3 linked regions of the Coturnix japonica genome follow. The main gene of each other region encodes a partner of the protein of the gene in region 2 in a complex. Links are inferred from orthologs where the notes say so. Each region holds a gene or a part of one and is shown on either strand. Other genes may lie near its edges.

The links.
Region 1: TBP (region 2) and TAF12 share a complex: the UniProt entries of both Homo sapiens proteins name them as parts of the TFIID basal transcription factor complex. The link is inferred for Coturnix japonica from reciprocal best matches to the Homo sapiens genes TBP and TAF12.
Region 3: TBP (region 2) and TAF8 share a complex: the UniProt entries of both Homo sapiens proteins name them as parts of the TFIID basal transcription factor complex. The link is inferred for Coturnix japonica from reciprocal best matches to the Homo sapiens genes TBP and TAF8.

What each region holds. Positions count from the first base shown.
Region 1 is NC_029538.1:2,026,338-2,036,127, reverse strand, and holds TAF12 (transcription initiation factor TFIID subunit 12), read right to left. Parts: upstream 5,684-9,790; 5' UTR 5,608-5,683; intron 4,637-5,607; 5' UTR 4,565-4,636; coding exon 4,496-4,564; intron 4,007-4,495; exon of another isoform or gene 3,897-4,006; intron 3,246-3,896; coding exon 2,994-3,245; intron 2,419-2,993; coding exon 2,341-2,418; intron 2,051-2,340; coding exon 1,936-2,050; intron 1,765-1,935; coding exon 1,676-1,764; intron 1,113-1,675; coding exon 1,077-1,112; 3' UTR 627-1,076; downstream 1-626. Other genes in the region: discoidin, CUB and LCCL domain-containing protein 1-like, read right to left, coding at 6,374-6,840, 7,093-7,209, 7,382-7,419, 7,538-7,628, 7,759-7,863, 7,942-8,110, 8,188-8,309, 8,860-9,054 and 4 more. UniProt on the Homo sapiens protein: The TFIID basal transcription factor complex plays a major role in the initiation of RNA polymerase II (Pol II)-dependent transcription.
Region 2 is NC_029518.1:36,560,535-36,570,324, reverse strand, and holds the start of TBP (TATA-box-binding protein), read left to right. Parts: upstream 1-3,051; 5' UTR 3,052-3,161; intron 3,162-4,936; 5' UTR 4,937-5,125; coding exon 5,126-5,179; intron 5,180-6,222; coding exon 6,223-6,557; intron 6,558-7,175; coding exon 7,176-7,263; intron 7,264-8,402; coding exon 8,403-8,494; intron 8,495-9,463; coding exon 9,464-9,631; intron 9,632-9,790. UniProt on the Homo sapiens protein: The TFIID basal transcription factor complex plays a major role in the initiation of RNA polymerase II (Pol II)-dependent transcription.
Region 3 is NC_029541.1:4,763,883-4,773,614, reverse strand, and holds the start of TAF8 (transcription initiation factor TFIID subunit 8), read right to left. Parts: upstream 5,538-9,732; 5' UTR 5,514-5,537; coding exon 5,250-5,513; intron 4,296-5,249; coding exon 4,139-4,295; intron 3,836-4,138; coding exon 3,737-3,835; intron 3,518-3,736; coding exon 3,455-3,517; intron 3,105-3,454; coding exon 2,980-3,104; intron 2,683-2,979; coding exon 2,535-2,682; intron 2,156-2,534; coding exon 2,013-2,155; intron 1,553-2,012; coding exon 1,409-1,552; 3' UTR 1-1,408. UniProt on the Homo sapiens protein: The TFIID basal transcription factor complex plays a major role in the initiation of RNA polymerase II (Pol II)-dependent transcription.

The sequences.
Region 1 (9,790 bases), on a different chromosome or scaffold from region 2:
GGTTCCCAGACAGCGAGCACAGCACGCAGCCCCTCCATGTGCTGTCGGGTCCCAAAACCTGTTTACTCTCCAGCAGGGAGCTCCCTCAGCTCGGTGCCCTGCAGCACCAGGCCACGCTTTGGGCAGCACCCTGGGAACAGACGGCAGCTCTGCGCCCCAGGAGCCGCCTCTCCCTCCCGAGCACCGGTCAGACCTGCCCCAGCTGCACTTAGTGCACGGACAGAGCCCTCACCTACCAACAAAGTGGGTTTCACCCACGGGTGCCGGTAGCCCGAGCCCCAGCAGTGAGCTCTGCACTGAGGCAGCAGCATCCACAACCTCCCTTTCTTTGCAGGGAGCCCGCAGAGCTGCCCTCCCTCCCCACTGCATCCCACAGCAGCTGTAGTATCTCTGATGCATATAGTGTGGGCAGAGCAGATGCTGGGCTGTGAGCCTTCTTCATGCCCCAGGGAAACAGAACACACTCATTTCTTACCCTTGGCCAACACAACCCTCCTGCCTGCATCCAAACGGGCTGAGCCACAGCAGGTCCTGATGCAGTGAGCACAGAGCAGAGACCATCAAAGTCCAGCACAGATCTCACGCACAGACACCAGGCTCACCCCACAGCTGCCTCTTTCCCCTGGTTTTAGATGAATAATTTCTTTATTCATGTAAAACAAACGCAAGTATTTTTATATAAACACTGACATTACAAAGTACGGGAGCAGGGAGGGGTATGAAGGAGGAAACAAAAACCTCTACAGCTGCTTCTAATACTGTCCCACACACACACACATACACACAATCAAATGCTCTGTCCCTCAGATAATCACTTATATGATAAACCACTTTCAAGTCACAAATAAAAGTCTTTGCTTTGAGATACGCTGCGCTCTTAAGGGGGAGAACAAGGAACAGGATGGTTTTGGCAGATCTCCTCATCGACTCAGATATTGCTGCACCGTCAATAAAAAATAGATGCTTCTCTGTAAAGCACGAACAAATAATATCCCATGGGTGGCGTCGCAGAGGCTGCAGTGAGAGGCAGAGATCCCAAAATGCACCGCTGGCAGCTCCGAGCTCTTCTCCCACTTCTACTTCTTGGTGGTTTTACGGATCAGTGCCATTCTCTGCAAGGAGAAGAAGGTGGGAAGCTGAGTCTCGGATCATTGCAATGCAACCTGAACAGCAGATGTGCAGAACAACCCATCTCGGGTTCTCTCAGGGCACTGCCCGGCTTGTTTCCACACAGGTCTGTCAACTTCATTTGAATCTCAGAGTCTTGGAGGAAAAGGAAACGTCTGCGCTGCCCCAATTTGCCCCCCAGGCTGTAAAGGCTGCGTGATAAAGGAGAGCAGCAGCACCAGGGGAGGGACTGAAGCCCATCTGAGCTTCAGGAGGAGCTGCAATAACACCCATGCACTCCAACAGCTCCTGCAGGGAACCTCCTGCCTTATGCTTCAAAAGCAATTGCCTGATGCAGTTAAAACAAAATTAAGGGGGGAAAAAAAACCAGCTGCAGTCACAGCTGAAATCACAGACAACTGCATGCTCTTAAACCTTATGGTGGTAGGGAGCTGAGACCTGCAATTCCACTCAGAAGAGGTTACGGATTCACCAGGAGTCCAAGGGCACATTACCTACATAAGGCTTCTACCATGCAATTCTCAGCACGTTCCTAAGGGCTCCTTACCTGTTTGTGAGCTTCTGTAGTGCAGGCTTTTTTGTAGGGCCTGATTTCTTCAGAACCAAAGCCCGGGATCCACATGTTCCACTGACGCTCTGGAAGAGAGAGAGCACGTGCCAGAGCACTGAACCCACCTGGAGACGATGGGTTTAGGGGCAGATTATCCCCTCATTCCTTTATGGTGAGAGCAGTGAGTCTTCTCATGGGTTGTCACCCCAGCAGTGGGCTGTGCACCCACCTCTCAGGTGAGGGCAAAAGCTCCTTACCAAGGTGCAACTGGACATCTTTCACTTCCAGGGTGTTTGACTTGCGATGCCGTGCGAGCTGGCAGGCAGCTGTCACCACGCTCTCTATGAAATCATCAGCAATCTGCAACAGCATCTGCCACAGAACGAGGACAAAAAGAGGTCTCAGCAGCACCCAACAGCTGAAACTATGAGAATGTATGAAAATGAACCCTCCGAAGATAATGTTTCAAGGGTGTTTTTGCTTCCCTGAAGCCTTTCTGAACACTGGGAAGCAGAGACATGGATGGCTGAAGGCTGCAATGAACGTGAGAATAAGGCAGTGTAATATAAACCAGCCCTCCCTGCTTTGGGCAAAGGGTCACTGGGCTGTGAGAAACCCCAGAGCTGCTCTTTCTGCAGCCCCTGCCATGGGTTGGTATCTACCTCCTCCACGTCTTCATCGAGCTGTTCGTTTGGATCCACCTCACGCACCAGGTCCTGCAATTTCTTCTTGGTTAAAACCTGAGTAAGTGAGAGAGAAAATTGGAACCGTTCACTGCGATGCTTTAGCAAATCACTGCCCACCCTGCACAGCCACAAAAGACCTCCTCCCTTACAAAGCAGAGACACAAGTCACACGTGTTGACACGTGGTATCAGCCCAGGAAGGGCAGATAAGAGACATCAGGTGCTAAGGAGTCATTTTCAAGCACTACTGGCTGCTCTGAACAGAAAGCAGAGTGAGCAGAGCGCAGCAGGTTAAGAGGACTAATTCTCCTGTGCTAAACCAGCACTAAAATGCCCCTGTCTGAAGCGGGGCTGACGGCAAGAGAGGACAAAGACATAGTGAGAAATCTTTAAAGCAACGTTCCAGCGACTAATTTTGTGTTCAGGACACAAAGGAAGCATTCCCATTGCTCTAAAGCTCATCACCTTTAGCATTTCAAATGGCAAACGGCCACACGTGAGTGCTGGATTACTGCAGGGCAGAAGGCAGCATCCTATCAGCCCAAATATGTGAATAGATCAGGAATTCCAGCACTGCTGGGCAGCAGGGAGAGCTGTGAGCATCCCCCCTGCAGCTGGGGATGAATTTACCTGGTTGCTTTCAGGACTGAGCCGCCCTCCTCCGCTGGGTGTACCCGGCATCTTTGCCACGGCGGTGCTGTTTGCCATGGAGCTTTGAGGGGGAGTGCTGGCAGGTTCAGGCTTTATGGAGGAGAAGTTGGAGAGGTTGATCAAGGTAGATGGGCCAAACTGGTTCATAATCTGTTGGGCTTTAGCTTTTAGATCATAAAGCTTGTCGAGGTCCTGCTTCTTCTTGGGGTTGTGGGGACCCAAACCGATCAACTGGAGAGAGGGAGACAGACAGTCAGCAAACAGAGCAGGAATCTAAAGGGGGATCCAAAGTACTGACAGGACCCAGAGTTCATAGATGGGTCTCTGGACCTGAACGTTTAGAAGACATTCCCTGGTATATGGGCAATGAAGTCTTCCCTGAGAAGCACAGCAGCTGCATGCAGCACCCTGACATCAGCGGCTCCTCACCCTGCTGGATCCTGCATGTGTTCAGCCTCACAGCAGGGCCTGCCTGAACCACCTCACACGTACTGCAGGAGGCTTCGAGGGTGAGACCAGAGCTGAGATTTAACCTAAGGACACAGCCCAGCCCGCAATGCACAGCAGGCTCGAGCCCTGTCTGTGCTCAGTCCACAAACCCAGGAGGCAGAAGCCTAAACCAGAAGACAACCATGCTTGGGCTCCCCTCACTGCGGGTCTCAGTTTTTGCAGCAATCCCCCTCCTGAAATCCAGAGCCATCTTCACAACACAGAGCTCAGCTCCAGCTCTAAGGAACAGCGACAAGAGAGGAAACACAGACGTGGCTTCGCATGGAGGGACACCAAAAGCCACAGTGAGGAAACCTAACAGGGGAGGTTGTGGCAGCACAACGTGCAGCTCAGCCCTCCTGGGGTCACCACCACGTGCCTGTGGTTACTCACATTGTCGGCTGCATGGACGGAGCAGAGCTGCTGTGTGCAATGCACTCACAGTGATGAGCAGAGCGTCTCCTGTCTCAGCTACAAACACGTTTTCCCTTCAGCAGAGCAAGCTGTTAGTTCGGATTAATCCATACAGAAAACAAAACCAGAGATCAGGCTCAGCCAGCGGCTGTTTTAGTGCTTCACAAACACAAACCCATGCGGAGCTCTCCTACAAGAGACTTTACATTGAGCCCAATGGCACAAGGCCCTTATGCTCAAACCTCAGCATCCTCAGCGCTGTTTCATTGCACACCTGGGTTTGCACAGGGGCTGCCTGCAGGCTGTTTGCTCCCATGCTTTATATCCACATCCACCAAGCAGGAATCCTCACCATCCATGCAGGGAAGGAGCCAACACCTGTTACATGGCTTTACAAAACCATGACAGCAATGATTTGAAACCCTGGGCAGGATGCACTTCGTTGGTATAAAGCCACTTTGCACATCATTCTCCTGATCTTATGGCACCTTTTGGGTGCTGTTAAGATCACTGAAGGCAAAACACCCACGGTGAGGCCCTGCATGCCAACTCAAGGCAACCTCACTCCGTTTACTTACAGCTATCTGCGTGTCTAGATCTTTAATTACATCAGCCACTGCTGTGGGCCCAGCGAACGGGGAGGCCATTTCCCAAAGCCTTCCTTGGGGTCAGCAGCTTAAACTACTGTGTTCCACATCACTCCCAGTCCTACAGGACTCCTACAGGAACACCAGATATTGGCACCCAGCCCCAATTAACAGGGAACACTTTGGCCATTCCCAATTAACAGGAAGCACTTTGGATCCATGAGCTCCTGTTGGATGTGCTGCTCATCCATCCCAATTCTCCCTCTCAATTTGAAGCCGTTCCCCTTTAACCTGTCATTCCCATGTCAAATCTCCCTCCCACTCCCCTTTATCCTGTTGTTATCATGTCAGATCTCCTTCCCATTCCCCTTTATCCTGTTGTTATCAACTCAGATCTCCCTCCCATTCCCCTTTATCCTGTTGTTATCATGTCAGATCTCCCTCCTACTCCCCTTTATCCCATTGTTATCACATCAGATCTCCCTCTCATTCCCCTTTATCCCGTTGTTATCATGTCAGATCTCCTTCCCGTTCCCCCTTATCCTGTTGTTATCATGTCATATCTCCCTCCCATTCCCCTTTATCCCATCGTTATCAGCTCAGATCTCCCTCCAGTTCCCCTTTATCCTGTCGTTATCATGTCAGATCTCCTTCCCATTCCCCTTTATCCTGTTATCACATCAGATCTTCCTCCCATTCCCCTTTATCCCGTTGTTATCAGCTCAGATCTCCCTCCCTTTCTCTCCTATCAGCCCACATCCCCCTCCAATCACTCTCAATCAGCTCCCATGGATCTCAATGCTGCACACCCCACACGGACACCCAGCGGCTCACCCCCAGCCCTTTGATACACGGCTCATATCGCCCTATACAGCCCGTATTACAATCCCTACGGGCCGCCCCGTGCTCTCCTTACATCGGGAGGCCTCAATCAGCACCAAGACCCGGCAAATCACCGGGAGGACAACGCAGCCCCTCGTAGCCGACCTCAGCCCCACCGGTACCGGCTGTACGGCCCCATATAACCCCATATAACCCCATATCGCCCCATATAACCCCATATAACCCCATATAACCCCATATAACCCCATACAGCCCCGTACCTCCCCATGCCCCGCGGGCGGACCGAGGCCCAGCCGCCGGAAGTACTATCGGCGCCGTGGGACGCACTGCGCGTGCGCAATGTTGGGTCTGTAGGAGGCGGGGATTGAGAGCAACCCAGCATGCACCGCGTGATTTGCATAATGCTCCCAGAGCAACGGGGCGGGCGGGAAAACGAGATTTTTGAGTGAAAAAAGATGTGAAAACAGCCAAAAGCGCAGCGATATGAAGGGGGAAAGGTGGGGGATGAGGTATTTCACATCATCTTCGCTCGCCCGGAGCTCGAGGGGATTGCGCTGCTCGTAATATGCCGCATCGGGATAGCGGAGCTTTAAAAAGGGCTTCTGCCGTGCGTGGCACGGGGGGGCTGCGGCCGCCCCCGCGGAATCGACATCAAGAGATTTCGGAAGCACAATTTTTGTGGGGGGGGTCGCCGGTAACCGACTGTTCCGGCGCCCCGGGCGGTGTGTGAACGGCAGCGATAAGAGTAGGGGTCCCTATAGTGGGTGTCTATAGGGGGGCTGAGACTGTAGTGGACCCCCCCCCCCCATAGGGCTGTATGTGATGGGGTTGGGGCTGTATGGAACCAGGCACCATCTGTACCCAGAGCTTCTACCCACCTGTGTGTCCACACAGCTGATGGAGGATCGCTCTGTATCCATGTATGTATATATAGATATGGATATATTTAAATATTAGTGCACATTTCCTTATAAAACCCCTCTGTGCCCCCCCACACAACGAAGGCCTCCAGCTGTATGTGCAGCCTCACCAGGCCTCGTGGTACACGTGTGAGCAGGGACAGTCTGTGGGCTCATCTGAGCCGGGTCCATCCGCACCGACCTCCTCACCCCCATTGGGGCCAGCAGTCCGCTCTGCACCGGGTGGGGCTGAGCCCAGCACAGGGGGCTGCAGAGGGGGGGCAACGTACCGTGATGGGGGGGAGGATGGAGAGCCGGCACGGCTGGGGTCGGTGCGGGTCCATTTGGGGTCGGTGCGGGTCCATTTGGGGTCGCTGTGGGTCCATCGGGTGCCGCTGGGTTCGGGCTCACCGAATGGTGTGGCGTATTCGGGTTCTGGAGGAAGAGGCTCCGCGTATTCGTGGTGTTTACCTGGCACGTCGTAATGGCTGACGACCAGTGGTAAGGTATAGCCTTCATCTGGGGGGGGTTTGAAGGTGGACGAGCCCAACTGGCTGCTGGGGCTCAGCTGCACCACGTCTGGCTCAGCATAGTCTGCAATGGGGTAACACAGCTCTGAGATGGGGCTGGCCATGCTAAGTTTGTAGCCCCACGTCCAGCCCTGGCTTTCAGGTGTTGGTGTGGAGCACGGTACCCACCCCACACCTCCCTGTGCCTCTGCGATCCCAGTGCTGCCTTGTGATGCCCACACACTGCCATGTCCTCCCCTTGCAGAGGTTCAGGGTGCAGTAAGGGGGGATGTGGGTCTGTTCTGCCCCATCACTGTGGCCCCTGTGTTCCCATTACCTGGTGAGTGGGTTTGGCTGAGGTCCCCCAGCGCCACAGGGAAGGAGGGCAGCGTGGATCTGGGGGCTGGCAGGCTCCCCAGGGAGCACACCTGGCTCATCTCCTGCTTGGGTTGCCCTGGGCAGAGAACAGAAGCCCCCATTTATCTCAATCCAGCCTCCACCGCCCCTGGATGCCCTTTGGGGATGGGGGTGCCCTTAGAGTGGATGAGCAGGAAGGAGCCCTGAGCCTTCAACCAGCTGCATCTGACCTGAATTCGGTGCCTCCCACACTGAGTGGGGGCTGTTACCTTTTGGGAGCCCGCAGTTCAGCTTGGTGGTCGGCTTCCTGCAAAGGGAGAGAGAACAACACAGGTGAGTGGATGCCTGTGATGGAGGGTTCAGCCACCAGGATGCAGCCAGCAGCTTAACGCAGCCTCATAGAAGCCCCATGATCTCGGACCCACCTCCTCTTGTGGCAGAGGAAAGCCAGCAGCAGGAAGCTGGAGCAGAGGAGGACAAAGACACCGATGAGCAGCATCACCAGCAGCGTGGAGTCTGGGAAGGGAGAGCAGCATCAGCACCTGGGTCCAACATCCCACACCTCCACCCATGGGGGTCCCCTGGGTGCTGAGAGCCCACCCGGTGCTGTCAATGGGGTGAGGATCAGCCCCCATGTGGCACCCACCTGCCTTCTCAGGGTCCAGGGCAATGCCAGGGATGGGTGTGCGGCCAGGAGGGCGGCTGGTGGGGATGGGGATGTGGATGGGGATCTCCTTTGGGATGCTGGGCACTGCAGGGCACAGCGGGTGCTGTCAGTGATGGGGAACATGGGGAGATGGAGGTCCCCATGGGCAATAGGGACGCTCACCATAGGGCCGTGCTGCACGGACACGTGCCATCTGGCAGCCCAGCAGGGCCACCTTCATGGCAGCGCGTTGGTGCCAGCTGTGGGGTGTGATGCGCAGGTAGCGGGTTGTGATGGGGGGGATGAAGGCGTTGGAGACCTCCCCGAGGCTGTCCACGTTCCCTTCAAAGACCTGCTGGGGATGGCAGGGATGGCTGCAGAGCTGCTGACCCAGGGCTGCACCCACCCTGCTGCCCCCCCTGTGCCCACCTTGTCCTCCCGGCCGCTGCTGCCCTTGTAGGGTCTCCAGTTCTTCCCATCCCGGCTGGAGGACACCCGGTAGGACGTCACATAGAAGTCATATATCTCAGCAGATCCCTTTGTGATGATCCCTGTCGGGCAGGATGCGCCCTTATATCACCCCAACCCCCCCACAGCTCCTTCCTGGACACCCACATCCCCCGCTCTGCCCCGAGGAGCCGATAAACCCCGGTTACATTCCTCCCTCCCTCCTCCGGCCCCCAGTCTCACAATGTCCCCATTTTCTTCCTGCCGGCCTCTGCACAAAGCCCCCGTTGGCGGCAGGCTTGGCTGAACAAAAGGAGCTCGTTGGCACCAGATGCAAGAGCATAATATTGACTTGTTCATCCCAGAAATGGCTGCAGTGGGGAAGGAACAAAATGGGGACGGGAAAAAGCCACGAGGAAGGACAGATACCGTCCAGATCCCAGTTTGCACCAGTACAACCAGTACAAGCAGAGCAGGGATGGCACAGAGAGCACCCAAACTCTCCTGGGAGTTAAAGGTTGAGGGAGGGGGGGGCTGTAAGTCTGTAATGTCTTTGGGCATCTCTTTGGGCAGTGTGGGGGTCCCACCTTGGCAGCAAGCAGGGTGACATGGGGACAAGCACCATCCCCATCCACCAGCTGACACTGTGCTGACCTGTGATGTTCCTGCGGGTCCCCAGGTCCAGTTCCAGCCAGGCGGTGTCGGTGCCGGGTTCTGCTGCCCAGGAGGGGCTGGGGGTGCCCAGCGCTGCCCGCTCAGCTGCCCAGCTCCGCTCCTGCCCCACTGCATCCACCTCCTGCCACCAGGATGAGGCGTTGAAGGCGGCCACCTCCAGAGCATCGCCGCAGGCTGCAAGGTGAGGTGACAGCTGGGGACCTGCACAGCACCGCGGGCTCCTCGTGCAGCCAAAACGATGGTTTCACATATGGGAAAATACCTTTGTGGAATAGGAGACGCTTCTCAGAGAGTGAGCCCCTGTGAGAAGGGAAGGGGGGAGGTCAGGAACGGGGCCCCCCAGCAAAGCCACCCTGGGGGGCTCTGACACCCGAGGGGAGGCGGCTGGGACCCCCGTGCCCACCTTTTGGAGTGCAGCCCGTTGGCAAAGGCCGACTCATAGAGCGTGATCCCCTTCACACGGGACAGGGTGACCTGCCCACCCACCTCATCAGCGACCACACCAGCGTGCACAGCTGCCTTGCACAGCACTGAGGTCTGCAGGGAGACTGGGGTCAGTGCAGCCACGCAGCCCCCTGACCTCCCTCCATTTAGTGGCATCAGGATGGAGGTGACAGGTGACAGACAGCACCCGTGGGTGACACCATCCCAGTTGAGCAGGGCTCTGTACGTACATCCCGGTAGCCGTCCTTCGTGTTGCCCCAGATGTCCCCCTCGATGTCCTTGCAGCCAGCAGGGCAGTACACGCTGAAATGCACAGGGTGAGTGGGATGGGGACACAAGTGCTGCTGGGGATGGGTAGTGATGCTGGGGGCTGCTCACCTGACGTGCTCCTGGGAGAAGTGGGTACCTCTGACCAAACAGGAGATCAGGTCTGCAAGGCAGGGATGGCCCAAGGTGAGGGGATGTG
Region 2 (9,790 bases):
AATATGAACACTTGATGAAAAAGAAGAAATTGTATTTAAAATTATAATAGGCCTCAAATGCAATACCAAAAATACATTTCTAAATACATTAAGATAGCTACCTTTAATCTTGCTTCAATAATCTTTGTGAGTGTAAGGCAGTCACCATGGAAGCCACTGCATCCAATGACTGTTCGCTCTGTTCTGTAAAACAAAGTTTAGTTGTGATTTTAGATTTAGCACGAACTATATCAGCTTCTTATAAAGTAAGTTATGAAAATATCAAGTGTATTTCCAGCTTCTCAAATGCTATCAGAAATAGTTGTCTAAAATGTAGTAGTAACAGGTATTCCAATAATAAAAGCTGACTCATTAAGTGCAGGATCACACAGATGTTAGTCTTCAACCCACTGATTTCCACAGCAAAGCTTTGGAAAGAAAAAAATACCTTAATTTCTTCAAGCACCTCTAACTGTAGCTATTACCAAGCCGTGTCATGTTACTCAATATGTTTTTACTCCATCTGGCCAGGGAACTGCTTTTAGCTGGTGAGGTAATGTTTATGATGTAGGTGATTTTTGGTGTCAGCACAACAGTGGTGACCTCATTGCAGCCTTTCAGTACCTGAAGGGAACCTGTATCCATGAGGGGAGTGAACTCTTCGAAAGGGCTGACAATAGCAGGACACGGGGAAATGGTTTTATGTTAAAAAGGGAAGATTTAGGTTGGATGTTAGGTTAGGGGGAAGTTCTTCACTAGGAGAGTGGTTAGGCCCTGGAACAGGCTGCCCAGGGAGGTTGTGGATGCCCCGTCCTTGGAGGTGTTCAAGACCAGGTTGGACGGGGCCCTGGGCACCTGATCTAGTAAAGGTGTATGTTTGGGGCCCTGCCAGGCAGGGGGTTGGAACTACATCTCCTTGACGGTCCCTTCCAACCACGGGTCATTCTGTGTTACTGTATCTGCTGATGTACTATACAGTATTAGCAGTTTGATCAGTTTCATAGCAAACATTTAACATTAATTAACTGGCACTAACATTTAAGCAATAACTACAGGAACCCACATTTGAATTTTAAGTTCTATAAATCTATGAAAGCCTACAAACACTGACATATTGTCCTGGTTTTGGCTGGGATAGAGCTCACTTTTTTCCTAGTAGCTGCTACGTTGCTGTGCTTTGGATGGAGGGTAACTGTTGGTAACATCCATGTTTTGGCTGTTGCTGAGCAGCATTGCACAGAGCCAAGTTGCTTTCCCAGCTTTTCACACTGCCATGACAGCAACTGAGGCCATGAGGGTGCAAGGGAAGCTGGGAGATGGGACCAGGGCAGGACAGCCAATCCGAACCAGCCAAGGCGATGTCCCATACTGTGCAGGGTCACGTGGACATGATAAAGTTGGAGAGAGCTGATCAATGTCGCAAGGAGAATCTGATCTAAGGAACTGGCTGGGGCATTGGTCAGCAGGTGGGAGAGCAATTGCCCATGCCTTCCATTCTCTTTATTATTATTTCCTTCAATTTTCTGACCTATCAAACTACTTTTGCATCAGCCCATTGGTTTACCTTGTGTTTTTTCCAGTATCATAGTCTCGTGTGGGTTGGAGGGCCCTTAGAGATCATTGAGTCCAACCCCTGGGATTCGAGCCCCTGTGTAGCAGAGCGGGCATTCTACCACCTTGCACACCACAGGGGGATTCGAACCCAGGCTCTCTTTCACATCCCACTGCAGGTGGGTTGTGGTGGAAGCAAGCAATACCTGCCCAGTGCTTTAGCTTCAATGAGGTTAAAACACCAGCACACATTTATAAGTTTAAACACTCAAAACCACTTCAATTGAGATTGCCTCAATTTCTGTCACCCGAATTACCCAAAGCCATCCTGGGCTTCTACACCTAATTGTACTAAAGCAATCTTCCACTGGACAGTAACAGAGAATCAAAGATACTACACAGAGTTACAGGCTCATTCTTCCATTTCAGTCCTTACAAGGTGCAGACTTACAGTTTGTAGCATTTGGGGCTGTCCCGGCTGTGAATTGCATAACCTTCACTCAGCCGTGTGTCGGAGGCAAACAATGCTGAAAGTCTTCCCCAGCGATCGCCAGCACAGTCCTTAAAGAAGAGCATTCATATAATTCACACAATTGGCACAACTTAGTTCTTAGGCAAGCGATGAACAGCCAGAAGAATAACAGAATGACCCGGGTTGGAAGGGACCTCAAGGATCATGTAGTTCCAACCCCCCTGCCTGGCAGGGCCACCAAACATACACATTTACTACATCAGAGTTGCCCAGGCCCGTCCCAACCGGGTCTTTGGAACACCTCCAAGGACGGGGCATCCACAACCTCCCTGGGCAGCCTGTTCCAGGGCCTAACCACTCTCCTAGTGAAGACAGAAGGCAAAACGACAACGAGCAAGACGCAGCCCAGCTCACCTCCCCCCGGCCCATCCCTGCCCGCGGCTCTCACCCGCCGTTGAAGGTGTATGGCGAGAAGCGGTACTGCACAGGTCCGCCCAGCCCATATCCCGGCTCCGGCCTCAGCTCGGCGTATCGCGCTGCGGACAGCATCCCTACGGCACCAGCCCTGCTGTCTCACGGCAAAATGGCGGCACCGGAAGCGAGGAGGCGGCGCTCTACGAGGCACAGGCACCTCGTCTCGTCTGCTCTGGAGGTACCACGCCCCATCGGCGGTGACCACCCGGCCGCATGGAGCCGTGCCAGCCTTCGGGCGGCAGGGCCGGCAAGCACAGCAGGCTCTCGCCATGAGCACACCAGCACACCGTGTGCCCCGGTGGTGCAGTAGTAGCAATGCCGCTTTGCAACACCGCAGGCCCTGGGTTCGAATCCCCCCTGTGGCGCGTGTGGTAGAAGTGCCGCTCTGCTACACAGAGGCTCGAATCCCGGGGGTTGGACTCGATGATCTCTAAGGTCCCTTCCAACCCGCACCACACTGTGACACTGTGAGCACGGCACCACACGCTGTGCCACGAGGTGCGAGTAAAGCCAACACCCCGCAGACAACAGCCCGCAGGCCCCGCCCTCACTCAAGATGGCGGTAAGAGGGGCGGGGCGGATTCGTGGCGGAAGTGACGCAATCGAGGCGCGCCGGCGGCGCGGTCTCGGGGCGCAGCCTGTGTCCCGCAGTTGCGGTGCTGGTTGTGGCGGCGCCGCGCGGCAGGTACCGGCCGTTCCGTGTCCCGCTCCGCCCCGCAGCCCACACGGCGCGGGCTGTGCCGCTTATGGCGGGGGGGGTGGCCGGGCCGAGCCCGCTTCTTACTCCCCGTGGGCGCCGCCGTAGGGTCGGGGTCCTGCGGGCGGGCCCGAGCGGCGGGGAGGGGGGGAGGGAGAGAAGGGATGTGCGGGGTGAGCGGGCCGCGGGCCGAGCGGAGCGACGGGAGCGATCCCGGTACGGCCGTTGGTGCCGGGGGCGTGATGGCGGCGGGACGCGGTCACCGCCTCCCACACGTGACGGCGGGCGGGGAACGCGGCGGCGGCGGCGGCCTTGGGTTCGGTACGGGAGCCGTGATCGGCCCTTGCCCTGCACGTGGGCCTGGTACCGGGGCTCGGCGGCTGGGTTCGGTGTATGTGGAGTCCGCGCGGCGTGTTGGGCCTGAGGATGGGCTGCCCGTGATGCTGGGTAACGGCTGGGCCCCTTCTTTGCACGGTGTGCAACGTGGAAACGCCTTTGGGTAAAACAGCGGGTGGTTAATGTGATACTGAGTGCCTTAAGGACGAGAGAAAGATGGGCAGGCTTTCTTCAAATGTTTCAGTGCTGTGCCTTAAAATGGCTTAGGAGCTCTCTGTGTAAGTGTGCAGTTAAGCTATAAATGAATAGGAAAAATATCTGATAAAAAGGCTTAGCATTTCATAATATAGCTATGCAGAGAAGGAGCTGGGTGTTTGCAGACAGCAGGTTGGCCATGAGTGTGCCCCGGTGGCCCAGAGGGCCAATGGGATCCTGGGGTGCATCAAAAAGAGCATGGCCGGCAGGTTGAGGGAGGTGATCTCCCCCTCTGCCCTGCCCTGCTGAGGCTCCATCTGGAGCACTGCGTCCAGTTCTGGGCTCCCCAGTTCAAGGCAGAACAAGGAGTAGTGGACACAAACTGCAGCATGGGAAGCTCCGTACAAATAGAGGAAGACAGAGCTGCCCAGAGAGGCTGTGGAGTCCCCTTCACAGTAGGTACTCAAAACTTACCCAGCCACTCTCCTGCTGTAGGGATCCTGCTTTAGCAGAGGATTGGGCTCAGTGATCTCTGGAGGTCACTTCCAGCCCTTACAGCGCCATGAAAGCATTTCAGTTCTCTATTTGTATTGTTTCTTTCCATTGCGTGCCAATAGAGGTACAGGTCTTTGTTTAAAAGGCAAAAAACAAACAGTAAGTGAAACAACACCCAGAAGAATACTTTCGTTTCATGCATATACCTGGAATTGGCTTTTAGTTTCCCTTTTTCCCCTCGTGAAGTACGTCATTGCAATTCAAAATACATTAGTGCTTTGCTTTATGGAAGTAGATGGGAGGAGGTTTCCTAAACCTGAGTTTACCAGCAGTATTTTCATATAGCAAAATCAAAAAACAACTTTGGAAGGCCAAGCCTTAACTCTGCCCAGGGGGAGATGTGTGAGCGAAGCGTGGCTTTAGGCTCGTCTGTCAGTAGCTGGTGGAATTCAGTTCTGAAAGTCAATGCTTTCCCATCTGAAGCGATGCATGCAGGACTGGAGCTGTGTGTGAAGGAGGCCTTCGTTGTGGAGGCGGCTGCTCACGTGCAGTGGATGTTCACCAGGGGCACTAGGGCTGTAGAAAGAGATTGCTTTATATAAGGTGCATGGGTGTGTGCGTGCGTATGAGTGTTCTCGCATATATTTGTATGTGGGCATTTCTTATCTAACAGACCAGCTGATAAGCCTGCTTTTGTTTAAATGTTATTCTCAAGATATTACTTCTTTTCTTTTCAGGCCCTGTTTAGTGTTTTAGACTCGCAACGTGTTTTCTCTGGAGCTGATGTTTTCCTGACACGTTTTCAGCTTGGCTAAAAAGCTGCTTTGCTGGAATGCTTTAGAGGGTCAAAAACCCTTTTTGGTTTTAAATTAATTTCAATTAATTGAAGGAAATATTTCTGGCCTCACCAAAGAATAACCGGAATCATGGATCAGAACAACAGCTTGCCACCCTACGCTCAAGGCTTAGCCTCCCCTCAGGTAAAAAGGGATGATGTGATATGCAAAAGCGGTCTGAATTTCTTTGTGGGAGTGTTTTCTGTGTCTTGTATGTTATTTCTTTGTGTCTTTTTTTGTTTGTGTGTTTGCAGATCTGAAAAATTCTACTGTATATAACTTACTCAGTAAAAAGCAGAGATGAAAAACCATTTATATATAGATAGATAGATAGATATGGGTATATATAGATATATATCCAGAGGTTTAAGAAATACACTGATATATTTATGGTTTTCATGAAGCTGAAACATTACTGGCATGTTGAAAATAAGAAGGTTCAGGGGAGACCTCATTGCAGCCTTCCAGCACTTGAAGGGAACTTGCAAGCAGGAGGAGGGGGGCTGACTTTTTAACATGGTCTAATAGCAGTAGGACAACGGGGAATGGCTTTAAACTAAAAGAGGGAAATTTAGGTTAGATGTTAGGAGGAAATTCTTTATTCAGAGAGTGGTCAGGCACAGAGAAGCCTGTGAAGCTTCTCTTGGCCAGAGAAGCTGTGGATGCCCCATCCCTGGAGGCATTCAAGGCCAGGTTGGATGGGGCCCTGAGCTGGTGGGTGGCAGCCCTGCCTATGGCAGAGGGTGGGACTGGATGGACTTTCCCTTCCAACTCAAGTCATTGTATCATTTTAACTTTGTTCATTGCTTTTGGAATCCTTTAAATTGGCTTATATGTAATGGACTACAGTTGTGCTGTGAATGCATTTGCATTCTAATGATTGCAAGTAGGAATTGTGGGTCAAAGTTGAGACGCACTTTCCAGGTATTGTAGGAAACGTACCAGCGTCGCTGACTGGTGCTGAGAAGTGTTGGAATTGACAGATCGATTGAGGTTGTGATTCATGTTGTGTAAGAACTGAATCTTCCAAAGGTTTTCTGTTTTTAGCAAGTTAGTAATATACCGTGGGCTTGATGTGACCAGCTAAGATGATTTATTCTTAGACTCCTACTACTTCAAGCTTCTTCTCTTTAAAACAATGTTAAGTCAAAGCGTCTGTGGTTTCTTTTTCATGTTTTCTTCTGCAGGGTGCAATGACTCCTGGAATTCCAATTTTTAGCCCAATGATGCCCTATGGCACGGGACTGACACCGCAGCCTGTCCAGAGCACCAACAGTCTGTCTATCCTTGAGGAACAGCAGCGGCAGCAGCAGCAGCAGCAACAGGCAGCACAGCAGTCTACATCACAGCAAGCGACACAGGGAACATCTGGTCAAACTCCTCAGCTCTTCCACTCACAGACTCTTACCACAGCCCCTTTACCAGGAACCACACCTCTGTACCCCTCCCCAATGACTCCAATGACTCCTATAACTCCTGCGACACCGGCATCCGAGAGCTCTGGGATAGTGCCACAGCTACAGTGAGTGTGTTGTGTGCTTGTACACCGTGACATCTCAGGATGTGCTTTAACTCGAAATATCCAAGAGCAAAGCCACATAAGTAATTGTGTACTGCATTTTGATAGGAAAGAAGGTCTTGAATATTTATTTGTATGAGTAGTGCAGAACATTGACATTGTAAACTACTTTTTACAAGGGTGGATAGTGATAGGACAAGGGGGAATGGTTTTAAACTGAGACAGGGGAGGTTTAGGTTAGGTATTAGGAAGAAGTTTTTCACCCAGAGGGTGGTGATGCACTGGAACAGGTTGCCCATGGAGGTTGTAGATGCCCCATCCCTGGAGGCATTCAAGGCCAGGCTGGATGTGGCTCTGGGCAGCCTGGTCTGGTGGTTGGCGACCCTGCACATAGCAGGGGTGTGCAGAGAATTTTGTTGGTGAGATAACATCTGTAATGGAATTGGAAGGGTTGAAAGGAAGTACTGCCCTAAAAGAGGAGTTTCCTGTCAGTAGGAGAGATGTCACTTAAGCTTGCTTGGTTAAACAAATGAAAAGAAATTAGTAAGTATGTTATGATGGATAAGATGCGTGAATTCTTTAATTTACTTTTTAAAATGTATTTCTCTGAACTATTTTCAGGAATATTGTGTCCACGGTGAATCTCGGTTGCAAACTTGATTTAAAAACAATTGCGCTTCGTGCCCGAAATGCTGAATATAATCCCAAGGTAAGAGAAGTGTGTTAGAATGTATCCAGTAACAGGTATGTGGGCAGAACATCTCTGGAGTGTGCTTTGCTGTAAGTAGCTGGATTGAACAGGGGGGGTTTTATGGCCTCGCTCCCCCTCTAAGCTCTGTTCTTTCAGATATTCCCCCAGTACTGGCTGTTGCTGTCTGTTATAACAGCGATGCTGTTAACAACTGCATGTGAGTAAGATGCTCATGCAGCTCACATTTGAGTGTGCGATGCTGGCTGTTATGTTAGGGGTAGGTGGCTGTGCAGAGCTTGTAGGCTAGAACGATCAATATGAAATGCTGGATTTTCACAGCAGAGAGAAAAGAAGGGTTATGTAACGCACTCGTGACTTTTAGTCAGTGCATCCTTTTATGAAACAAATAGCTTGCTTGGCTGTGTTATTTAAGCCACAGTTTGACAAATGTGTTTTTGGGTAACCCATGCTACTACCTTCATTATGTCAGCAGAACAGTAGTACATGAGACTGCATAGTGAACTGGTCCAAGTTTAATACAGCACAGAGATTTTGTGTGTGATACCCACATCAGTTTGCAGTATTTGTTTCTTCAAAGAGCTTAAGAATGTTTATAAATGCAGGTAGAGATGTTACAGTATGTAAAATAAAAAGCTAGAGCTTACTGGGCTACTGTATTCTACCATAGTAGTTAAGGTGAATTCAGTTTACATGGAATATGGCTTCTGACTTCCCAGTGGTTCTGTTTGATGACACTGTAATGCTACCCAAATGTTTAAGGTACAAAACCAAAGTAGACCATAAAGTATTTGCATAACCTTCCATCCTGCTTAGAACAGATTGAATTTCAAGACGTGGAGGAAAACTTGGTGTTAAGATCATTGCTGTCATTGTGTTGCAAACATTAGTAGTATTTGTGTCGTGTATGTGGTAGTTAGAAATGAGCTTAGTAAAAGAGGAGTGCAGTACTAAAAATCCTTCCTGTTCAACTCTAAGTGCATTTGAAACTAAATAAAGCTTGCTTGAATGAAGAGTGTTCTGCAAATATACTTGAATCTAATTATTTCTTTGCAATGGCTACTTAGATTATGCAAACTCGGTTTTAATGTACTTGTTACATTTGTGTATCACTAATAATTTCCATGCTCACATTTCAGCGTTTTGCTGCTGTTATTATGAGAATAAGAGAACCACGTACTACTGCACTTATATTCAGCTCTGGAAAAATGGTGTGCACAGGAGCAAAAAGGTAAGCTCAGCTGGTAGGAGCAAACTAATTAAGGCCATCTTTTCTTTTGAAATCACAATGCTTTAGAAATATAGTTTCTTTTATACGGTGTTTATATACATGTTGTATATGTATACCCATATAAAATGGCTATGCACTGTAACTGTTTAAACTATAGGGGCAGTGGCAGGATAAGCACAATTTGGTGTTTGTTTCATTTACTGTGGGTCAGGAGCTCCAAGTCTCTGGTACCTGTAGTCTGATCTGTTCTTAATGGGATCACTGAGGCATCAGACTTGAAAACTGGCAGGAGAGAAATTCTGCTGTGAAGTCCTTTGGGAATCCAGAAGGAATAACCTAATGAGCAGAGATCGTGGAATCATGAAATAATTTGGGTTGGAAGGGACCTTTAAGATCATCCAGTTCCAATTCCCTTGCTATGGGCAGGGACACCTCCCTCTAGATCAGGTTGCTCAAAGCATCCAGAGAGCATCCACAGCCTCTCTGGGCAACCTGTTCCAGTGTTTCACCACCCTCACAGTAAATAATTTCTTCCTAATATCCAGTCTAAATCTATACTCTTCCAGTTCAAAGCCATTTCTCCTCATCCTGTCACTACACACCCATATAAAAAGTCCCTTTCCAGTTTTCCTGTAGGCTCCCTTCAGGTACTGAAAGGCTGCAATGAGGTCTCCTTGGAGTCTTCTCCAGGCTTAAGAACCCCAGCTCTCTCAGCCTGTCCTTGTAGGGGACAGAGTAGAGTTTTCTGCTTCATAAACAGTGAATGCAGTGTTAAAGTGTTCGGGACCTTGGTACTACAACTGAGTGTGCAAACCAGTAGTAGTTGTTCATTTTGGATGTAAACATTTTGCAACTCTCCTGCAACACACGCAATGTTTCTTTCCCAGTTAAATATTTGTGGCTTGGTGCTGTTTGCTTGAAGTAGTGCTTAATAAGGGAAATAAGCTGGCTCTTTTTTTCTCCCTTCAGCGAAGAACAGTCCAGACTGGCAGCAAGGAAGTACGCAAGAGTTGTTCAGAAACTGGGTTTTCCTGCGAAATTTTTGGATTTTAAGATTCAGAACATGGTGGGCAGCTGTGATGTGAAGTTTCCTATCAGATTAGAAGGATTGGTACTCACACACCAGCAGTTCAGCAGGTAAATGAAGGTTTGCCTACCTTTCATTCTTGCTGTGTTGTGACTAGCTTAGAGCGGCATCTGTTTAGATTGTTCCCTTACACCAGAGAGGATGCAGCATCTTTGTTCCTATCCTAGCTCTGCCTCTGGAGTAACTGATGTTATTTTCATGGGTAGATA
Region 3 (9,732 bases), on a different chromosome or scaffold from region 2:
TAAAATTTCTTTTATTAGGAACATTAAAGATACTATTTTCATTCCAGATTCTCCCCTATCCAGAAAGGGATATTTTCATTATGAAAAACACCTAATCCAAAGTAGAAAAAAAAAAGATAAATCCTTTTATATACATACACACATATATATATACATCATGTCTTTGTACATTTGATTTTCTGTACAACAAAGGCACTAACAGAAGTGGCAATGGCACACGCAGGACTAATTTTTTGCTAAAGATGGCATTTCAAATAGGTTAACAGGAATACTTCCATTCTTGCTGAAATAATTCCTCCTCTTCTTCCTCCTCTCTGGGTGATATTATATATAATATATCTGTGTATATTTTCCCTAAGTAAAGACTGAACATAAAGTAAAGGAAAGGCCTCCAAAACTGGATAACAATTAGAGCAATCCCACCAGCACTCATTTTCACAGTTGAAACAAAGTTCCTTATCTAAGGAAAAAAAGGAACAACAACAAAAAAGAAACAAAAAAGAGCAACTTTTGTTGATTAAAGCCCATATCTGAACAAAGACAAAATTTAAAAGCATGATCAATAGCACAGCCCTGCAGACTGTAATCGATACAGCTTTATTCTATATTCCAAGCTTTGCAGCAAGCATCTTTCAAAACAGCTGGTGAAGGCATGAACTCTCAAAGGACTTGTGCTGCATTGAACCTAACAACAGAACTAGAAAAGAGCCCGAGGCAGCTGTTGAATCCTGCCATTGGTACTGCTAGAAAATAACCTCAAAGCAGAGTAGGGTAAACACCACACTCAGCACTTTTAAGTTGGAAGTGCAGCTGCAGTCAGAAAAGCTGAGAATAACTCTCATCTTAGCTCTGTATTTACACTTCACTCTTTGATAAATGTGTTTGCTTTTACCTGCCAACAATCAAAAGAAAGAAACCTCTGTGGGATTTTTCTCTCTCTCTTCATACATGCACCACAGATTATAAAGCCAAACAGGGTTCACTGCAGAAGTTTCTTTTCTAGCTTGTAAGGCAGCCAAAAACAAATGATGTCTTTGTGTTCTGTAGAGCAGCAAGAATCTTTTTGTCCTGTGCCTCTTAAGAGAGTAAACCTCCTCAACAGTGAGAAGAAACCAAAGCAAATGAGACAATTCCCATCTATAACCCAGTGGCTTTTACCATTTTTAAGGCAACTGACCACTGAGCATTCCCAGTTAGGAGGAAAGCAGAGGAGGAAGAGGGAGCACTGCAAACAATGATGACAGTGTAGTTTGCCAGGCAGACAAAGATCATTCCTCTCCTTCTGCCATTCGGTCAGACTGCCTCCTCTGTCTTGCTCCACGCCTCATACCCACAGCAGCAGAGGTGACTACTCATAACAGCCAGAGAAATGGGCTCCTCTTCCTTCTAGCAGCCAGCTGACTACAGTTCATTTCTTTCTGCGGATCTTGGGCTTTTTCACTGGCCGGAGATAAGGATTGTCTATCATATTCTCCTCCCCATTCCGGCTGCCAGACAAGGAGGTGTTCTGCTGTAATACTGAAGAATTCTCTTTTTCAGGTCCTGAATCATCCTGACACAGGAGAGAAAAAAAGAAAAAAAAAAAGCATAAATAACCAAAGTTAGTCTTAACAGGGCTTAGAAGTTCAAACCACAAAACACATGGGAGAAACATAATCAACAGCCAAGATAAACAGAAGCAAACAAAAAGCTGCACTGAAGGTGAGAACTGCAGATTTTTAATATAAGTAGATCCCCTCTGAGAACAGCATAGAATAGCGTGATGATCCTCTCTCCTCTAGCACAGAAATAAAGGTTGCATTGAAAGCTCGTGATCCACCATTAGATAACCTCAATGTACAACATATTTTGCAGAAAGTTAAACAACCATGACAATGTTAGTCATTTACATCCGGTAAAATGCAACCTACTTTGCCATTTTCCACCCCCTATGCTCAGCTGCAAGGAAGGCAAAGAACCAGGTTTTATATGTTTAAGAAAATCAGGCCCTAGAGACCTGAGGGTGGGCGTACCGTGCTCATATGCAAGGGCAGGTTCTCTGTGTCTGTCTGGTCGTCTTGCTCGGATGAATCTGTTTCTTCCATTTGCTGCATTTCCAGCTCCGAGGGGAGAAGAGCCGTCAGGTAGGGTACGGTGAATGGCCTGGCAGCAATCACTAGTGTTGGGGAAAAGCATGCAGTGAGCAGGAAGGGAGACAGATCATCAACTCAGCACTGAGTTGACAGCACTGGGATAAGGGAACGATAGGATGTATCAGTCAAAGCCTTCACCACCATCACAAGAAAGGGGGAATTTGTTTAGAGTAGAAGCCAGTGCTGTCTGAATTTCTGTAACTTTTGCACAAGTCATTTATGAACCCAAGGTTTTTATGCCTGTTTAAAATAGAAAGTCCCTCATTTCCTTCCCTTCCCGTGCTTCAGAAGGCTGAACACAATGTGATCCCTCAGTGCCCACCTCCTGCAATCACAAGAACACCAGATGTACACTCTGTTAGAGAACTGTCCTTTACAGCACAGGTTTCCAAGATAACTCACATGGGAATGTGCTAACATCATCTTTGAAGAGACTCTGTGTTTCTCCTGTCTTAGCCATGAAGCGGGTGAGAGCTCTTTCCACGTCACGCCTCTGAGATGCTGCCTTTTCCCGTAGGACTTGATAATCGGACACTGGCTCTCGGTACGTCTGTAGAGCAGGGATGACAAAACAAGTACAGTCACTAGATTCAGTGAAGACAGATCAAGTTCAAAACACTAATAGGATGCAGGCAAGCACTGACCTTCAACATGTGCACGTTTTCAAACAGCTACAGATATCAGCTATAAAACTAGAGCAAGTACAATATGCAAATGACAAGCATTGTGCCAAGGTAGCAGAAACAATGTTCAGGAACAGCACTACAATAAGAATGCACATGCACCTTTCCTAACATTACTGACTTCAGACAGAAACCAAATGGCACAAAAGTCTTTTTTCACTCACTGGTGTCTTGATGTAGGTGTGAGGATCTGGAAACTCAGGGAAATAGCCAGGGATGTGGGATGGATGTGGCTTGTTCTGTCCAGCTGTCAGGGCTTTGGGAGTCACGGGCTGATTTGTCACAGGAGCTATGGTTAAAAAAGCACATGCACTACATGAGCATATGACACAAGCAACAGTTTCAGGTTGTATTTGGCATCCCAAAAGGGAACAAGGCTTACATGACCCCTCCTACACAAGGAGAACCACCTTGAGGATTCTCATGTGCAATGAGGATACTGAAGCAAAAGCAACAGGTTTGGCAAAGGACAGACACTCTCCTTCACCTACTACATCATAATTACAGGAATCTTTAACACAAACTGAGTGCCCCGGAGCAATGGACTACACCATCCATGAGAAAAGCAGCAGCTCTCTGGATGCCAGCAGATAGAAAAGACAAATGGTTTCCTGCACAAGAAAAGGACTTCTCACATACGGGCAGTGATCACCATCCTCTGGGAGCGCTTTGCATATGCAGGAAGTGTTTCAACATTGAACCCTGAAATACAGAAGAAGAGAAAAATGGAATCACACCAAGAAGAAAGAAAATAATGTACTCTGTGTGCATACACACTACATCAACAGCAGTGATACTGGAGCCTCTGTGTGCAACCCAGAACAGCCGACATCACACAACTACACCAGGAACAGACTGTCATGGCAACACAGAACACCCACTGTATGTATGTGGAATGAGTGAGATGAGTCAGCTACTCACCCATCTCCACTAAAGTAACAACTATGTCAGACAGCGTGGGCTGTGTTCGGGCTGTATGCTCACAGTAGGACTTTGCACTCCTTCCAATTTCAGAAATATCTGGAGGGGAAAAAACCACCAACAACCATTACATGTTCATTTTATTTTATTCACATTCCATGTTCATTTCAGGCAGCAAACACACATTTGTGTCAGCACAACACCTGACTTTTGATCAAATCTAGTGTCATGGTTTTATGATTTTTGTTATTGTTATTGCACATCATAACATCATGGAAAGCACCGGGAGTTAAAGAGTTAAAACAAAACCAAACAAACAAACGAAAAACAGAAAGAGCGAAAGCAAATGTGAACCGATTTCAAGGTGATTTTGCCCTAAATCTGGTGGCACCCGACACTCACAGCTCTGTAACATCTCTGTCAGTGTTTCCACCGCAGCCTTCTCAGCGCTCTCAAAGCCGGCTTCAGTGAGCAAGGAGCTGACCACCACCTGCAGTGTCCTCCTTCGGGCCAGGTAGTAGTTATCTGCTGGCGTGGTCGTGTGCTTGCTGCCCGACCGCTGTGGACACAGACCCCAAAACACTGAACCTGAGCCCCAGACGAGCTGCCAGCACTCGCTCTGTGCTCACACATTGTCCCTGCACACATCACGGGTGTACATACACAGCACCTACCTACACACAGTACAGACCCACCTACACAGACACACATGTACAGACATACACACATGAGGACTGCTCTGAAAGTAATGCCTCCTATTTCATGATGTCGACATCAGGGTTAGATGTTGGAGGCGGGGTAAAGGCTGAACCTTCCTGCCAGCATTGTGTACATTACATTGTGTACATTACATTGTGTACATTACATTGTGTACATTACATTGCTGTGTGACAGGTGGCAGCAGCTGGACATAACGGTGTGTAATGAAGGAGTGTGAATGAAGCACAGAATCACTGTGTTCCTGGATGAGGGCAGATGCTTCTGGAGACAGAGCAGCCGCTGTGAGCACAGTGCGGCGTGTTCCAGTGATAACAGTGGGTCACTCCAGCAGTATGAGTGCAGCATGCAGCTCTTCTCCAGTGCCAATATGGGCAATGGTGGTGACCGTGTTAAACAGCAGTGCTTTCCAGATGTGCAAACACCTGATCACACAGTATGATTGTGCTGTACCTGCTGCAGCTTCCATGCGAATAAATAGGAGGCTTTACCTTAGGAGCGCCCTACAAGCAGTGCCTGTCCATACTCATATCCCCATATTTACACACGTTCCCCCATAGTCGCTCTGTCCCTTTAAACGCTGCATCAGAGCTCGGACCAATCACAGCTTGCCGCCAAGCCCCGCCCCCACGCAGCCATGCAGCCAATCAGCGCCTCCCTCCGTTCAGCTCCCCCTTAAAGCCGCCGCGCTCAGCCCGCAGCCGTTAGTGTCCCGCTCCCGGTGCAGGCCGCGCCGCTCCGCCCGGAGGGGCCGTTCCCACAACGACCCCGCGGCCCGACGAGGAGCCGCCGTTACCGTGCCGGAACCGCCGGGCGCCGTGTCGGCCATCTTGGAGCCATAGAGCGCTGTGCGCATGTGCGGGGCGGTGGGGCCGTGCGGCGAGGCGCGCGTTGCACTGTGGGGGCTGTAGGCGGCTCCAACATCCCCCACAGCCCCGCGGTGCGACCGGGACGGGACAACGACGGGATGGTGATGGGACAACGATAATGGGACAACAACGATGGGACGGCGATGGGACAACAACGATGGGACGATGAGCTCCGGTAACGGCGGCTCCATGGCGGGGCAGCGGCCCGGCCCGGCAGCGCTGCACGATGCCCCGAGAGCTGCGAGAACCTGCAGCCCCGCCCCGCGATGCCGGAGCCGTGTGGAGAGTAAACAACAGCCAGGAGCGGGACGGGACCGGGCAGCGGAGCTGGTGGATGGTGAAGGTACGAGGCACATAATGGGTGGATGGAGCGGGGAGCTGCTGCCATAGTACGGCCTGGGCCTGAGCTGCCGGTGTGTGAAGGTGCCGTTGTTGTGGCGGTGTCAGCACCCAGCTCTGCTGTGCCCGGCGGGGTCGGTCCCTCGCTGTGTTCGGGGCTGTGTGTGCTGTGCTGGCTGCTGGAATTGGTGGCAGTGATTAACGGAGTGTGAGGGAGCACAAGGAGCTGGGAATGGAAGCGCTGTGTGTGGTGGAGCTGTGACCTGCTGGTTGATTGTGGGGCGGAGTGATGTGCGTTATATGGAGGGATGTGGCAGCTGGGAGCTCAAAGCAGCCGAGTGAAGCTGCTGAGAACAGGCTCAGGCTTCATGTTGGGTGGCTGCATTACTTGGTTTATTCACACGTGGGAGCTGTTGGATAAATGAGATCCCAGCCCTGTGCTGCCCGGTTGGTTTTCGTTGGCTTTGTGGGTTTTTTGTTTGTTTGTTTTACTCTTGGGAATACTTTTCCCCCATCCCACAGTATCATACACTTCAGAACAAAGCTGTTTCTTTGTACACAGGGTGTCTCTGAGGAGGGGGTAGCAGGGGAAGCCCTGCAGTGAGGGCTGCTGGGTGCTCTAGTTATTGGTGCAGAGCACTGTGTTATTTTGGATTCCAGTCCTGGCTGCATCCAGCCTGCTGAATAACCAGACACAATCTCTTTGCTCCTCTGCACGTTTTTTCCCATCAATAAGTACTGCCATGCCTTGTGAGCTGCTCTCAGAACTGATAAAGTGCACCCGCTGATGTTACAGTACATAACATAACATTGGTGGTGGTGTCAGCTGGAGCCCTTGGGTTCTAACCAGAGCACTGCAGTCCCTTCTAAACTCAGTTACAAACTGAAAATCCAGAGCCTGGTGGAATTTTCCTCAGCTAAATATGTGCAGAAGTCCCTAAAATCACAGGTGCTGCATCCTGTTTTATGGCACAGGTACATCATTCTGTTATGCATGGCTTCCGTTTGCCTGGCAGGGTGGGAGTGGGAAATGCTTCCATAAAGGTCTGGCTGCTCAGTGATGTCGGGGTTTCTTGTGTGTCTGTGAAGCAGCAGCTGCTCGCAGCCACCGGAGGAGACTGGCCAGCCAAGAGGAAAGGGGTGAAGTGAAACAAGGAGAGCTTCAGGGCTGTGCTGAAAGATGTTGCCAGGGATCTGATGTGGAAGGGAAGGAATCTGGAAGCGAGCAGAACCATGCTGGCTGTTCGTGTCCATAGGTGGAGGGTGACATCCTTATTTTGGAGCCCATGTGGAGTGGGAATCGATGTTGCTGCTGGAAACGTTTGCCAGTTTATGGTGCCAGCTTCCTCTGCAGTGCTGTGAAATCAGTCAGCTGGCAGCAAAACAAGGAGATGTGGGATGGTGGGAGTCTGTGCGCCTTCCTGAGCATGGGGTTTTTTCCCAGAGATTGGAACGCTTCCTTTTGCAACAAGAAGAACTTTCAGATCGGTCTCAGACTGAGAAAGGAAAGAAGCTCACGTGTTTTTACAGAATTTCATGCAGATTATTTCAAAGAAGATGTAGGAGGTGGGAATCCCAAGTCCTTATTGTGTCACCCCAGACAAACATTAAACCTCAGAGAGCTACAGCTGAATAGTTATTCTCATACTGACGGTCCCAGGGGGGAGAAGCTGTGAAGCCTGTTGAAATTCAGCCTTGTAAAGAATGATGGGAATGGATGACTGTCCACTCTTTGGTAGGGAAAGCCCAAGGCTTTGTCAGTTCTGAACTGGGCAGTGCTGGTGAAGGGGGGGCTGCAGGGATCTGGTGTGGGAACCTGGTGTTTGAACCTGGTGTTTCTGAGCAGCAACAGAGATGGGTAGGTGGAAATTGCTGCGGTCGATGTGGGGGTGAACTTTTGCATGTGCTTCTGTCCCCCAGCACCACTGCCACCAGAGGGCACGTTGTCACCATGTGCTCTTACTGGCTTATGTCAGAAGCCAAAATAGCTAGCAGCGAATTCATTTAGACTCTTACAGCCCCCTTACAGCAGTCAGGATGTCACCAAAACCTTCCCTGTGCCCATGTGGTTCTGAAAAGTGAAGCCCCCAAGCTCCTTGACTAATGCATTGTAAGGGTTGTTGCATAGTATGATAGTGACAAGCACTTGATGCACAGGACAAGGGCAAGGAGGGAATAAGCTGTACGTCTGAGAATGTTTCTCCTAAGGACATTGGCCTGTTGCTTGCAGAGATCATGACCTGAATGCAGTGAGGCTGTTGCTGCTTTGCTACTATTGACAAATAACCTCCTCTCTAAAGCAACAGTGGTGTTAATGTTGGCAATATGATTGTGTGAAGTAATACCCTGTGGACTTGTTGCTTGCTGGTGGAGGAGGCTGATGTCTTGGCAGAAAGCACTGCCCTGCCTGGGCTCATGGGATGGGGATCTGTGCAGCTCTGCTGGGTCACTTCTGGAGTTCACATAAATCTTCTCAAAATTATGTTGCATGTGTGTAAGATGGAGTTTCCAGAGTGCAGGATCCATCTCGGTGCGTGAGTTAGGTGTTCCATCCTTGGAGTTCTGAGTAAAGCTTGAAGCCATTTCATCAAGACTACAAATAGCCCCAGTGGGAGATCCCAGGAGCTTTCTTTTGGCCTAACTGGAGTGTCAGAACATCTTTACTGATTAAAGTGGGCCCGGGGTGGTTGATATCCACTGGACTTTTTATTGTAATGCTATTTAGCTGATGTAAAAACTGTTCTTTCCCATCCCATTAGCTCATAGTTGTGTTTGAGTCAGTGCTGTATCTAATCCAGCAAGCATGTAAACCCACACTTCCAGGCTGTCCAGAGCCTCTGCTGCCAGGAACTATTGCAGATTCCAGGTCAGCTTTTCCTGCCTCATCAATGACTCAGTGGATGTTCTGCATTTTGTTCCTTCTGTTTTCTTCAAACCTTAGAGCCCGAAGGTGATGAGGAGATAGGCTGAGCTGGTTGCTGGATCAACAGATGTAGAGTTCAGATGCAGAGTTTGCTGAAAGAGAAGCAGAGGAACAGTGTCAGGTGTGGTGATATTGTGCCCTCCAGATCCTTACAGGTGATACAGCTGGGCCTGTGCTGGAGAACATAAGATCTCTGCCCAGTCCCGTCCACAAGCTGTCATTCTTTGTCACCACCCTTGCTCTGGCAAACTGCAGCTACCTCAGGTGTGCCAGATGCTGGATGCAGCAAGCACTGATGCAGTCCCTTGCTATGGAATATGCTGTAAATTAGTATTTTAGCAATTAGTGGCAGAGAGCCAAGGGCATGTACAGCAGAATGTGCATCTTGGTGCTGGAGCCTTGCTCCTCACCCCAGGCATCTGTCTGTCCTGTAGATGTCTTCACATTGCTGGAGGAGGTGCTGCAACAAGTAGGTTCAGTCACTGGTAAGGCAGATGTCAGCAGTAGAGCTGGGCCAGGATGATGTGCCTGTCTGCTTTTTGCACGCTTCCCTCTGTGGCTGCAGCCTGCCAGTGGAAGCCATGTCTGCTCTGAGCCTGAGCTGCATTGCCCATGCCTTTGATATCTTGCAAAGAGCAGGGTGTTGCTGCTGGCCTAACAGGGTGATAGCCTTACCTCAAAGCATGAGCACTGCCAACCTGCACAGCTCAGCAGAGGCCACTTACCACATTTGTGTTCCTTACTGCTTTCTCTGACAAATATCTGTTGCTTCAGGAAACCACACGTTGGGTGTTGCCCTTCCAGGGTAAGGGTGGGGGAGAAATCCTGCTCCCCCAGGCACAGATCCAGCAGGGGTCTGGGATCCTGCTGCTCTCTGGATTGGGTTGGGGCTGTCTCCTCCAGCTGAACGAGGTGAATCCATCTGTGTCATCCCCAGGCAGGGAGCTTATGGGGCCAGCAGAAGCAATTCCTGCATTCGATCATAAGCTTCTGAGCTGCAGTTGTGCAAGTTTGCTTATCCCAGCTGGGCTTGGGATCCCTCTTTTGAGCCCTTTTCATTTCTGCAGGACAGGAAAGCTGTTTGGGTGGGCTGTGAAGAGCCCCCACTCCTCAGCTGGGGCTCACGCAGTTGTTTAGCTTTGCGAGAG